Linked DNA regions of Xenopus tropicalis. The protein of the gene in region 1 purifies or fractionates together with the protein of each later gene. This does not show direct contact. Links are inferred from orthologs where the notes say so. Each region holds a gene or a part of one and is shown on either strand. Other genes may lie near its edges.

Region 1 (5,836 bases):
ACAGCCAATTTATAGGGGTTACTTCCCCTTGCTTATTATTATCCTTTTTCCCTACAGCCAATTTATAGGGGTTACATCCCCTTGCTTATTATGATCCTTTTTCCCTACAGCCAATTTATAGGGGTTACTTCCCCTTGGCTCTCCAAATGAAAAAAAAAAAAACTCGCTGACATTCCCTGGGGCCAAACGATTGAGTTATAATGGCGGCAATGGGGCAGTCGGTTCGGGGACCGCATCAACGAGCCGATGCTGTCCCCGATCCGACAATCTTTTAACCTGCCTGATCGATATCTGGGCAATTTCAGGCCAGACGTCGGTCGGGCATGCCCGTCGTTTCTGCCCCTACACGGGCCGATAAGCTGCCGAATTGGTCTAAGGGACCCATATCAGAAGCTACAATTGGCCCGTGTATGGGGACCTTAAGTCTTGCTTCCTCAGCTATACCCGTTAGTACAACCCCTGAGGGAAGTCAGCCAATCCAGGCTCATTTTTGTCCGTGGCTATAGCACGGTGCAACTGCCTACTGAATAATAATGTCGGCATGAAACGCGTTGGGTTCATGGAGATGTTTTAATGTAACTTTGAATATTTTGTGATGCCCTGAGTGCCTGTATGCCCATAGTGGTTGCTGGTTTTCTGGATAATGTCAGCCTATGTATGCCAGCTGGAAGGGGGCCACATCACTGCGCTGATGCCAGACAGGACCAGACAAGAGCAGTGAAAGGCGGCTATACAAACAAAACATGACTTGCAGGGCTGTAATACAAGAGCACAAAAGGGACTGGGGACTGTCATTGACTAAAGCAAACACAGGAATTTCAGGCAATAACATCCTTTATTTTGATAAATAGAATCCCCTTATCCACTGCACTCGGCGGAGCACAATGGGCCCTCATGTCGTTTTGCACTATTTCTTTAAGCACATCACACGGTTGCTTTTATTAGCGCACACACACACAAAGCACTGCTTGGCTTCTCACAATGTAAAGCCTTCTGCACTGGGGGGAACTTACTACCATGTGGGTCCCGATTCAGTCTGTGCCTTTAAGACGGCTGCTGAGAGGATAGAGAACCACATGATAAAGTTCAGCCTCGCATTTTGGAGTAGTGCATACATGCCCTGGCCTCTAGACTCCCTCCTTATTGCACGCAGCCTTGGCCCAGATCAGCCAATAATTTACACAGCCATCTGGCAATTCAAACCGAACCTGCAACATTGCTCCCCCGTAATCTTTATTTCTGCCCTTCGTTCACGCAGCACCAAGTGTCTGATTATTGCACCTCGGCCTGGAATGGTGCTGCCTCAGTTTATTAATCATATAATCTCTTTTTTTGAATACATTTTCTGGCAGTTAAATAATGTGCTATAGGGGATTGTGTTTCATATAGTGTTCCCCTCTGCCTCTGGGAGGAGGCTGGACTATTGCACCAGTCCTAAAATTGCGGCCCCTGTAGTTCCCCCGTCCCGGCACATCGTGGTCTCTACTTATGGCTGGTTTACCGTCCCCGCTCAAGTCGTATCTTTCAGGTCTCCCTCTGCCGTGGAACTTTCTCCCTCTGCCGTGGTGCAGATGGCTGTTGGCATTGTGATCAGTATGTACAGGCCGGTAGTGCTGACTCCTGTACCCTGGTCTTTGCCTGCCTGGGTGGCCCCTGGAGCAGGGAAGTTTGGACTCCACTGGTGGTGGTGGTGGTGGCTCTAACTCTGGCTGAGGTGACTGCACTTCATCTGGCTGGGGTTCAAGGACAGCATCGAATTGTGGTGGTGGCTGGAAAACAAAGAAAATAAAGCAGATTATAGGCATTCTACAGGTACTATTTATCAAACATCCTCCCCATTTCCCTTTCAGTACCTCTTGGATGCTGATGAAAAAACGGTTCCTTTCTGCCTCAATGTCAATTATCCCTCCTTTAGCGAGTTGAGCCTGGTAAATCTGATGCAGCTCCTTCTGTTTCTCCAGGGTGATACAATCCGGGGTATATATCTCCTATGCAGACAAAACACAGCAGATCAGTTGACGCCAGACCTGACAGGGGACTGCACCTTATATTTCCCTACGTCACTGATCCCCAACCAGGGGCTCGTGAGCAACATGTTGCTCACCACCCCCTTTGATGTTGCTCCCAGTGGCTTCAGAGTAATTGCCCATTTTTACATTTCTGGTTTGGAGTCAAGTTTTGGAAGCCCAGAGAGTTTTACTCCTGCAGGCCAGCAGTCCATATGGGGCTACCAAATAGCCAATCACGGCCCTTATTTGGCATACCCTAAGAACTTTTTTTATGCTTGTGTGGCTCCCCAACACTTTTACATCTGTAAAAAAAGGTTGGGGATCCCTGCCCTAGGTGAAGATAGGACTGAGATTGGCTACCTACATCCTACTGTGCTTTTGGGGAAGGATAGTTAATAAGTTAATAAGCAATGGGCAGGTTGGACTGGGCCGGTGGGACACTTGGAAAAAAAACCTGGTGAGCCCTGGCTCTCGGGGGCCCAGACCTGATTCCTGCCTGCCTGCCCTCCCCGGTCATTTCCCCAGTTGCAGCAAAATTAAGTATAAGGTGCTCATGGGGTGGAGGAGGTGGAGGAGCTGGAGGGCAGCAGGAGTCAGTCTGAACACCCCAGTCTGACCCTGACAACAGGGACCAAAGAGGACTCCTTCTACCATCTACCTTCAAGTACCATCTTGGAGGCATAGGCTATTTTACATTATATTTTAGGTTTTTGTTGCACATAATTACAACGTTGAGATACTCAGGACCTACCGGAATATAGTCTTTAGTTGCTGGGGTTGGTATATTTTACTGGAGCATAATATGACACAGAGCTGGGAATCAGACACCACCCACAATAACAACAATTATGACCATTTATACTCCCGGCCTCCTACTGAAGCCTGACCAATGACTCGCTATTAACCGTGTCGACGGGTGAACTTACCTCTGGGTGCAAGGGGGGCGGAGCTGCTTGTAGTTTGATGATGTCACAGGTCACATCCTCGCGGCAAACGGGGCACAAAACTGAAAGCTCCTGAAAAGACAATCTGCGTTATAGACACTAGATATAGGAACAAATAGGAAAGGGAATACAAATATGTTTTTTTGAAGATAAAGATGTTATTACTATAGACCAGGGATCCCCAACCTCTTATACCTGTGAGCCACATTCAAATGGAAAAAGTGTTGGGGAGCAACTTCCTGGGGGTGCAAATAAGAGCTATAATTGGATATTTGGCAGCCTATAGGTGGCTCTGTTTGCATTCAACACTTGCCTTCAAGCCAGAAATTCAAAAATGAGCAACTACTTTGAGGCCACTGGGAGCAACATCCAAGGGGTTGGTGAGCACCATGTTGCTCCTGAGCCACTGGTTGGGGATCACTGCTATAGACTCGGAAAGGGAACGGTTTCCTTGCAGTTGCAGGCATCAGGCTCAGGATGATATGGGACTGTTTGTAACTTACCTCCATCTGCTTCTGTTCTGTACTGTGCTGCGCATAGCGACCCAGGCAGTATGAATGGAAATGGTGGAAACATGGGGTCTTGGTCAGTGAATCCCCCTCCTGTGGATGAAATAGACGGATTTGCATTGTGCAGCTTACGGATACATAGAGCTGAAGAGAAGCCCCTCTTCACCCTGACTCAAGAAGACAGCCCTGCACCCCCATTCTACATGTCACATTGTATCTTTTCTGGCATTTCTCAACCAGTCAAACAGGATCCCTTTTGTACATGTGTTTCTATGCCGCTGCCAAACACAAACATACAAGTAAAAACAATCACAGCCCATTATTGTGCATAAAAAGAAGGATTTGTATCTTACCCGCACATTTGCTCACCTGGAAGTTATATAAGCAGATGACACAATGGCCACGGGGGATATTACTGTCAGTCAGCATCTCCTTTCCTTTCTGCGGAGCAAGAGATATGGTCAGACAAAGAAAAAGTCAAGCATGTTATTTGTCTTGTCTGCCATCAACTTGTCTATTGGGGGAGAAGCAGCATCATATCAGCTAGAAGAGTATTACTGGTGTCTACCCTGTCACTGAGGGGTTCTGCGACCATATAAAGGCACAAGGCTGCAGGCTGAGTTATACAGGGAACTCTTGAGTATCACTCATGTATTATAAGGGATAATGTACCCCCTACTGTAAATGATAAGGATATTAGCAGTCACTGAGGGGTTCTGTGCCCATATAAAGGCACAAGGCTGCAGGCTGAGTTATACAGGGAACTCTGAGTATTACTCATGTATTATAAGGGATAATGTACCCCCTACTGTAAATGATAAGGATATTAGAAGTCACTGAGGGGTTCTGTGCCCATATAAAGGCACAAGGCTGCAGGCTGAGTTATACAGGGAACTCTGAGTATCACTCATGTATTATAAGGGATAATGTACCCCCTACTGTAAATGATAAGGATATTAGCAGTCACTGAGGGGTTCTGTGCCCATATAAAGGCACAAGGCTGCAGGCTGAGTTATACAAGTAACTCTGAGTATCACTCATGTATTATAGGGGATAATGTACCCCCCTACTGTAAATGATAAGGATATTAGCAGTCACTGAGGGGTTCTGTGCCCATATAAAGGCACAAGGCTGCAGGCTGAGTTATACAGGGAACTCTGAGTATCACTCATGTATTATAAGGGATAATGTACCCCCTACTGTAAATGATAAGGATATTAGCAGTCACTGAGGGGTTCTGTGCCCATATAAAGGCACAAGGCTGCAGGTCATGGAATGCTAAGGTGACCTCAAATATCATCATATCTTACAACAGTGTATTTTTTTTTTTATTTATAAAATACACATCAGTATCAGCGAGTCATGTGACACAAATGACACCACTCAGCACTAATTATAACTGACGATATTGCTGAGCACATTTAACAAGGATTGTTGTGTATCACATACATGTATTATGTATCGCGGTTACCTAATTGTACCAACCACACCCGACTGCACCTTCTACAGGAGAAACTGGTTATTAGCAAATTCAGTTCATTAAGTGAAGCATATCTACGCTTTCCAGGAAACAAATCCTATTTTGAAAGAGGGACCGTCATCTATTTCTGTCAATTAAAGAGACTAAGGAAGTATGAGAGCCTATTATATACGGACGGCACAATCACTGCGTGTATAGCTTTCTATAATTATAGACAGGTTCAAGGAAACATTGTTTGAAAATCAAGAATGTGTCAATACATTACATTTCTCTAAATATAGAAGGAATGTGCTGAGAAAAGTTGTTTCAGGCTGATTAATTGAAAATATCTGCAGATTTCTGGTCCCACCCATCTGTCCCCACTTCCTGCTTCCTCCTTTCCCAGGCTGGGGGGGGGGGGGCGACGGTATTCAGCACCCTGCGCTGTAGGCAGTGGTTTAACTAGAGGTTACTGGGCCCCCAAAACATTACCAAACATTCTTGTTCTACCAAGATATATTGAAATTGCTCATTTATTTGGGGCCCCTACACTCCAGAGCCCCCCTGCTGCTTCCTCTATAGTTATGCCCCTAGCTGTAGGATAGGAACCAATCAGCAGCTAGGCTGACCTGATAGAGAACTGAAGCCTGTCTGTGCTTGTGTGACTGCAGGGCTGTGATTGGCTCCTATTGTGCTTCTGGCAGGGACATTTAAAATCTTTTTTTAAAGATAATAATTTTCATTATTGCCTACAAGACTGAAGGGGTTTGTAGTTATTCTATATGTCTGTAGCTCACCTCAATCAGCTCATAGAGAATTGGGCAGCCGACCCCCTGCTCAGCCACGGAGCGCAGAGAGCTGACAATGCTGCAAAGGAAGAGGGAGAGTTCTTTGTTATCTCCAAATCATGAAACA
Region 2 (6,367 bases), on another chromosome or scaffold:
ATCATATCCACTGTTATTGAAATGGTTCAAAGCAATTCAGTGAAAACTGTCATCTTAGTTAGTCATACAAGAACATTTTTACTAATTGTACACTGATTTATTTGTTAGAAACTAAGTAGATACAGTCATGTTTCAAGTACAATAAAATGCTTTATTATATATCTTCCTGTTTTCATTTTTCTACATATAAAGCTGGTAAAGGGTACAGAACAGAGAATGGGGAAGGGTATGAGTACAAAGGGAACTGCATGTAGGGAGTAGATATTACTAAATCATTATAAACAGTTACAATAGGTATGGCATGGTCACAAGCAGAACTAGAAAATACAATGATCCGTGATTAAATATACAAATCTAAATGTGGATAAGGAATAGTTTACAATAAAATTTCCTATATACATTGTCTCTAAAAAGTGTCCATGATCCCTTTCCGACACATGTAGTATGTTATGTACCTAAACTAGTCTTTATAAGATTTAATGAGCCACTATAAAAAGTTTGCCGTAGAACAAAGCTAAATACTGCTGAATACATATGCTGACATCATTTTATGGTATCACTATGTCCAGGCACTGTTGATACTAAGTAATGTTACATTTATGTTTCTCATTCAGCAGCCAAAACCTAGAGGCATACTTATAGTCGTTTTTGAGGCTGCTAGGTTACATCTCTCTTTTGGCTTCCTTTAAATGATTATAACACAATAAGACAATAATTAACAGGAGGTGATAAGTGGTTCTTCTATTCCTTAACCTATCCTTAACCTTTTGTATTTTTTGTGGCTTAGGTATTGGCAAATTCTTGCAATGTAAGCTATCTAAAAGAGGTTACTGCTAAGACTTGCATATACCAGGTGTCTACAGTGTAATAGTCTCAGACACATACTAAAGAACAAACAGTAGCAGGAAAGTACAGTTTTAATTCCAAAATGCACTTTGCAGAGGCCTTTAAAGTGGCTACTTGACCAAACAGCACTCAAAGCGGTCACCTTTGTCACAGATACATCTGCAGAGAAAAGGCCCTGTCTTGTGTGTGCAGTGGTAGGCACAGTATTGACCCACCAGCATGCAAACAGTGTGGATATTGGTGCAACCATGCACAGTTTAGTTTTTCTGCACACATAATTTGCACCATGTGCACACTAATGGGCCAATACCATGCCTGCCAGTTCTCACACAGGGTGGGGCAGATGAAAGCAGATCGGCCTTTTCCATGCCGGGGCATCTATGCCAGTGAAGAAAATTCTGTGTGCCATTGGCCTAAGCCATTATTTATTATCTCCATCTATGTTGGAGATTGACTGATTGTTCTGTCTGGGCCAGTGATCTTTAGCTCTTCAATATGGTATTCACAGCTTATTTAATGTATCTGACTTTCCACAATATACATGATTCTGTGTGGTAGTTTTCTTTTAATATTGGATAATGTTAAAATTGAATGGATTGTAATATACTCATAATAATAGCTACACAGTTCTATACTAATTTAAATCATTGCTAAGAAATACCTTTTGAACCTACACAATAGTTTTGCTTTCCTTTTTATTATGAATGTCTGGGGGTGCAATTTCCAGTGGGTAACCTGCTTTACCGATTTTTTTAAAAATAAAAACCATGGGGCCTAAGGGGCAAAGGTTGTTGATTACCTTGGTCTGTCAGAAGGTGAATAGCTTCCTCTGCGTCTCTCACTGAGAAATCGAGACCTGATGGTGAAACTGGTTTAGCACAGATAAAGAGCCGCAGAAGTGCCAGGAAAGTTCTGTTTATACAAGGAAAAATCAATAATCACTCTGGAAATGACAGGAATTGACAGGATTAGTAATAAACAGAATTTCTTCGCAGGCTATTTTCAATGTTCAGCTGCACCTGGAGGATTATGAGCTGGCCAGCCCTGATGCACATGAATGCTGCTGTGCATATATCTGTGTTGTTCTGGCACATATTTATGTAGGTTAAGAACACAGATAGCCATATCCCTAAGCCACTTCCTGTCTAACTTTTCAAGATGTGTTTTTCCTTGTGGAGTAATATAAATTGAGGCAAATATTCAACTAAATACCCTCTCCCCTCTTTCATTACTTCCTGTAATAAATAGTTTTGGTGAATAGTATGCAAAGTAACCCCCCAAACTTAAACCACTGGCTGTAATAGGCAAATAAATGAAATATCATTCGTGGCCCTGTGCTGTAACACCTGTGGCCTTTGCCACAAAAAAATGACATCGCAGATACTAATAAAGATTTAAAATTGATATGGAAACAATTCACTCATGCTCCTAACCACCAATACCCTGTAAAGAGCAATTACTCGCTGGGACAGTGCCCTGGGAAAACTTCTCATATACATGGAAATCCCACAGCACTAATGCCTTGCCAAACAATATGTGAGCCAGTGGCCCCATGTCCATGATAGGAAAAGCAAGAGAGAGTTATTCAGGGCCACATTTGCACTCGTCTGGGCAACCAGCACTGTGTATGCCTTGGCACGGCGCATACTGCTCAGCACTCCATAGCCGCAGCCACATAGAATATGAAGGACCTGCTGACACAGCAGAGGAACCCTGTAACTTCTACATCATTGCTGAGTAACACACAGCTCAGCTTTATATACCCCTTGAAGTTATTGCAGCCCTACGTTTTCTATTTTCTGCCAAGCGGTGTCGGGAGCGCGCACTGAAACACTGACTCCATGTGCTCGCCCCCTCCCTCACGGCCTCTTTTCTCCCTCTTTACATCACACTCTATTTGCGCGCTCCTGCACTCCTTGGGGCGGGTCCATCGACGGCGGTGGGCGGAGCCGCTAGGAGTTGTTCTGAAGAGGCAGCCAGAGAGGGCGGCGACATACATACCGTACTAATACCCGCCCCTTTTGCGCGTGTCCGTGCTAAAATAGGAGCCTGTGCTCTGGATGTAGGGGGAGAGCTGCTGAGAAATAGGGGATTTACCATATGTAAGCGGGGCGTTTGGCTTAATATTTCTTGACGACTAGCCCTACGCACTTACCTACACAGGTGCCTTGGGGTCCGGGGTGACTGTGGATGTGTGTCCGGACCCCGAAGAGGTGTGAAAAGAGGACCCCCCGCCCCAGGGAGACAGTTGAAGGAGGAAGAAGAGGAGGAGGAGGAGGTCAGGAAGAGCTGGGTTCGTGTGTTGCACCCACACTTTGTTCGGCACCGGGATTGGGGGCAGGTAATGATTTGTCTGTGCTTTCATACAAATGATTGGTCTCCCATATAAAACTGGCTGTACAAAGGGCACAACAGGATGTATAGGTGTTACATGTGCCAAAGATTGGGAATGCAGTGTATAGATGTGTCTATGTGACCCATAACCTATATACAAATGTAAGGGTACATCAGCTCCCACTACATCGTGTTGTGCAGCCTACAGCTGGCCAGATGGGCTACCATCCTACTAGCCAGGCTAGGACTTTCATATACAGATGTGCTGTACATTAGGGAGGGAACCATGTTACACACACCAAGCTTCACTCAGTGTAGATAATGGAATCTTTTCTGCATTCAGTCAGTCATGGTTGTCCAGCCTGCTGCCCTCATGCTGGGGTTTCACTACAACTCCCAGCATCCCCCAGTATGCTTTGGCTGGTGGGGTTTCTTGGAACTATGGCTAAACAAAAGGTTGAGGGCCGACCATTTATAAGCAGAGGATGTAGCCCCAGACAAGGACATATGTAAACAATTCAAGTTCAATATTAGATTCTGTGTTCCAAGGAGCTTGCACTCATTCTTATTATCATTTTAGTGTGTTGGTAGTGTACAGTTTGTACATTATTTGATCCAGTTTATTAGCAAATCTGTAATTTGTGGATAGTGTAGCTCAATGCTTGCTCAACCTATTGCATGTAGTTGGCTAATTATCCAGTAAACCACATGTACAGGGGCTGGACTTTGCTGAAATGATGATGTCATATAAAGTCTTTGGAGTCCATGAGCCTGCTGGGGGCCATGAAAAAGACTTGGAGATCTACATCTGGCTTGTGGGCTTCCAGTTGGACAGCGGAGGTGTAGCATATACATCTTGATTTTGTTTTCATTGTGCACTCAACTAATAGATATGTGTGCAATACTGACAGTGTAACCAGTGTTGGATTGATTAAAACATGTTTTGCCTGACTCTTAAATGGGAATTCTGTTGTACAGTATGTTGACTTGCTTTACTTGTTCAACGTGCAGGTGAAAAAAGTGCATATATCATTATATCATTTCCTGTAATGTTAGTTCTCTTAGTATTAAATGGCCTAAGATAGCCATGTGCACAAAGATCCACTTGTTTAACAAGGTTACTAAATGAGTTGACTTTTGCCTGATTTTGGGAATATTGAGTGACCCATATTTGTTCTGATTTTATTTTTTCTTCCTGGCTAACAGAAGAATCACCCTAGGGGCCTATGCAGACACTTCAACCCAATAAAGACTTCTTAGATGGTATAATTTTCAAACCAGGGCAATAGATAAATGACTGATCTCCAACCCAGTATTGGAGGGCTTGGCTTGGAGTGGCTTAATCAAAGACAGTGTTGGATTTTTTGTAGTCATCTTAAAGCTAATGATACATGCTTTTCAGCTGGTTTACATGTAGGGTTGCCACCTTGCGGGTAAAATTGATCCTTTATGATTGTAATATTAATAGGGACAATAGATAAAAAAAATATAGGAAGGCTGGTATTTTTTTCCAGTTGGTGCTTTTAGCCAGCTGCTGAGCACCCATGATTTATCATCCTAAGACTTAGAGGGAGATTTATCAAAATGTGAGATTAGAGCTAACCACAGAAAAATTCACCCACTTTCTATTTATTCCTGAGGGATTTTTAGAAACATATTTATCAAATGATGGACTCTAACTTTCACCCTCTGATAAACATGCTTCTAAAAATCCCATAGGAATAATTATTTGATAAATACATTTCTAAAAATCCCTTAGTAATAAATAGAAAGTGGGTGAATTTCAGAGTCAGCTGTGCGACTACACTCTTTATAGATATAATCTATATATCTATATCTATATATATAATTATAAATGTAATCATTTTATGAATAAGCAAGTTTTTTTTAAAAACAATTGATTGTGCAAAGAAAAACCCTGCACAATGGGAAAAAAACAGTAGATACCAGATAATAAAACAACTTACTAGTATTTTCTGACTTTGTTTTAGCTGAAACCCTGGATTAAATGATCATATAATCAGCCACTTAGTGTCTGTTACTTGCATTTTCATAGCATCAAGAGCAAAGACACATTTAGCTACTTAGTAGCAGCTACTTGTCATGGCTACAGAATGCCAGAAAATACCCTGCCATATACAAGACTGAGAATTGCCTCTGCTAAAATACACGTAGAGACAATTATCAGTAAATTATCAGCATTGTCTGTTTTTGTAGCTGCTACTAGTAGCTCCAGGTGTCTTCACCCTAAAGGGGATCATAGTGACCCATTTTAAGAACTTCCTAACTTGATAACTCAAGCCCTACAGAGAGAAAATGAACTGAATAAGTCACATAAATAAAGGAAAATATGATTGGCATGTAGCAATTTAAAAACATCCAGTGTTGTGCAGAATGCTACACAGACCGAAAGCTGCAATGTCATGTATAAATCGCTATGTGAGTCTGATGGAGAGATGCAGCTAAACCATGAGTGGGATAGCACTGTTCTTAGCAATAGGCCGGGGATAGCCAATTGTCCGCAGTCAGTGAACTGCATCTCCCTCGTGCATGTAGAGACATGATTGCAGTTAAAGTGGCTTAGTGGCTGAAGCACCAAAAATACTCTGTGCCATAATCATGGTTTCTTATTGCCCAGCATCTAAAACACATACAAATTTGATTTCAGACATACCAGACTACATGTATTAAAATACAAAATGTGTAGTACTGTGTGTATGTACATTCCGTGATTTACAGCCATGTGGCTCGTGCAAGCTTTGTGTGGCATATGTAAATCTCTTGTATGATTTGAACAATTTGATAGAACTACAGTATTTATGTCAGTTACTTTACAATGTGAACATTCAGCTAATCTATACCACCTGTGGATGCACAATGTGCATGATATAAAATATATTGTGTGTAAGTATATATTTTCTGGTTTTAAAATGTGAAAAGGATTCTGAGTGATTGAATTGTAATCTCATGATAGGTATAGCAAGTAAACAGACCTCATGCTCTGTGCTTTAGTAAACCAACACTAGAAGAAATGCACAAGAGTCATATGGCACCTCTTTATGAGTGTGGTTTTACATTCCACCCACCATTTGCTTATCTAAGATAAGCACATTTGATCAAATTGATGTGTACAATGTTATAAATAAAGCTTTCTTTTTACACTTTCCATTGTAGGAAATGTTTTGCT

What was found. The genes of interacting proteins can lie anywhere in the genome.
Region 2: the proteins of rnf25 (region 1) and ube2e2 purify together in Homo sapiens (affinity purification with mass spectrometry; 3 studies listed by BioGRID and IntAct, counting the BioPlex papers as one, with this or other methods). This does not show direct contact. The link is inferred for Xenopus tropicalis from reciprocal best matches to the Homo sapiens genes RNF25 and UBE2E2.

Annotation. Positions count from the first base shown.
Region 1 is NC_030685.2:13,921,936-13,927,771, reverse strand, and holds the end of rnf25 (E3 ubiquitin-protein ligase RNF25), read right to left. Parts: intron 5,789-5,836; coding exon 5,719-5,788; intron 3,904-5,718; coding exon 3,832-3,903; intron 3,556-3,831; coding exon 3,457-3,555; intron 3,026-3,456; coding exon 2,936-3,025; intron 1,989-2,935; coding exon 1,854-1,988; intron 1,770-1,853; coding exon 1,365-1,769; 3' UTR 817-1,364; downstream 1-816. UniProt on the Homo sapiens protein: E3 ubiquitin-protein ligase that plays a key role in the RNF14-RNF25 translation quality control pathway, a pathway that takes place when a ribosome has stalled during translation, and which promotes ubiquitination and degradation of translation factors on stalled ribosomes.
Region 2 is NC_030682.2:46,325,124-46,331,490, forward strand, and holds the start of ube2e2 (ubiquitin-conjugating enzyme E2 E2), read left to right. Parts: upstream 1-2,872; 5' UTR 2,873-3,187; intron 3,188-6,367.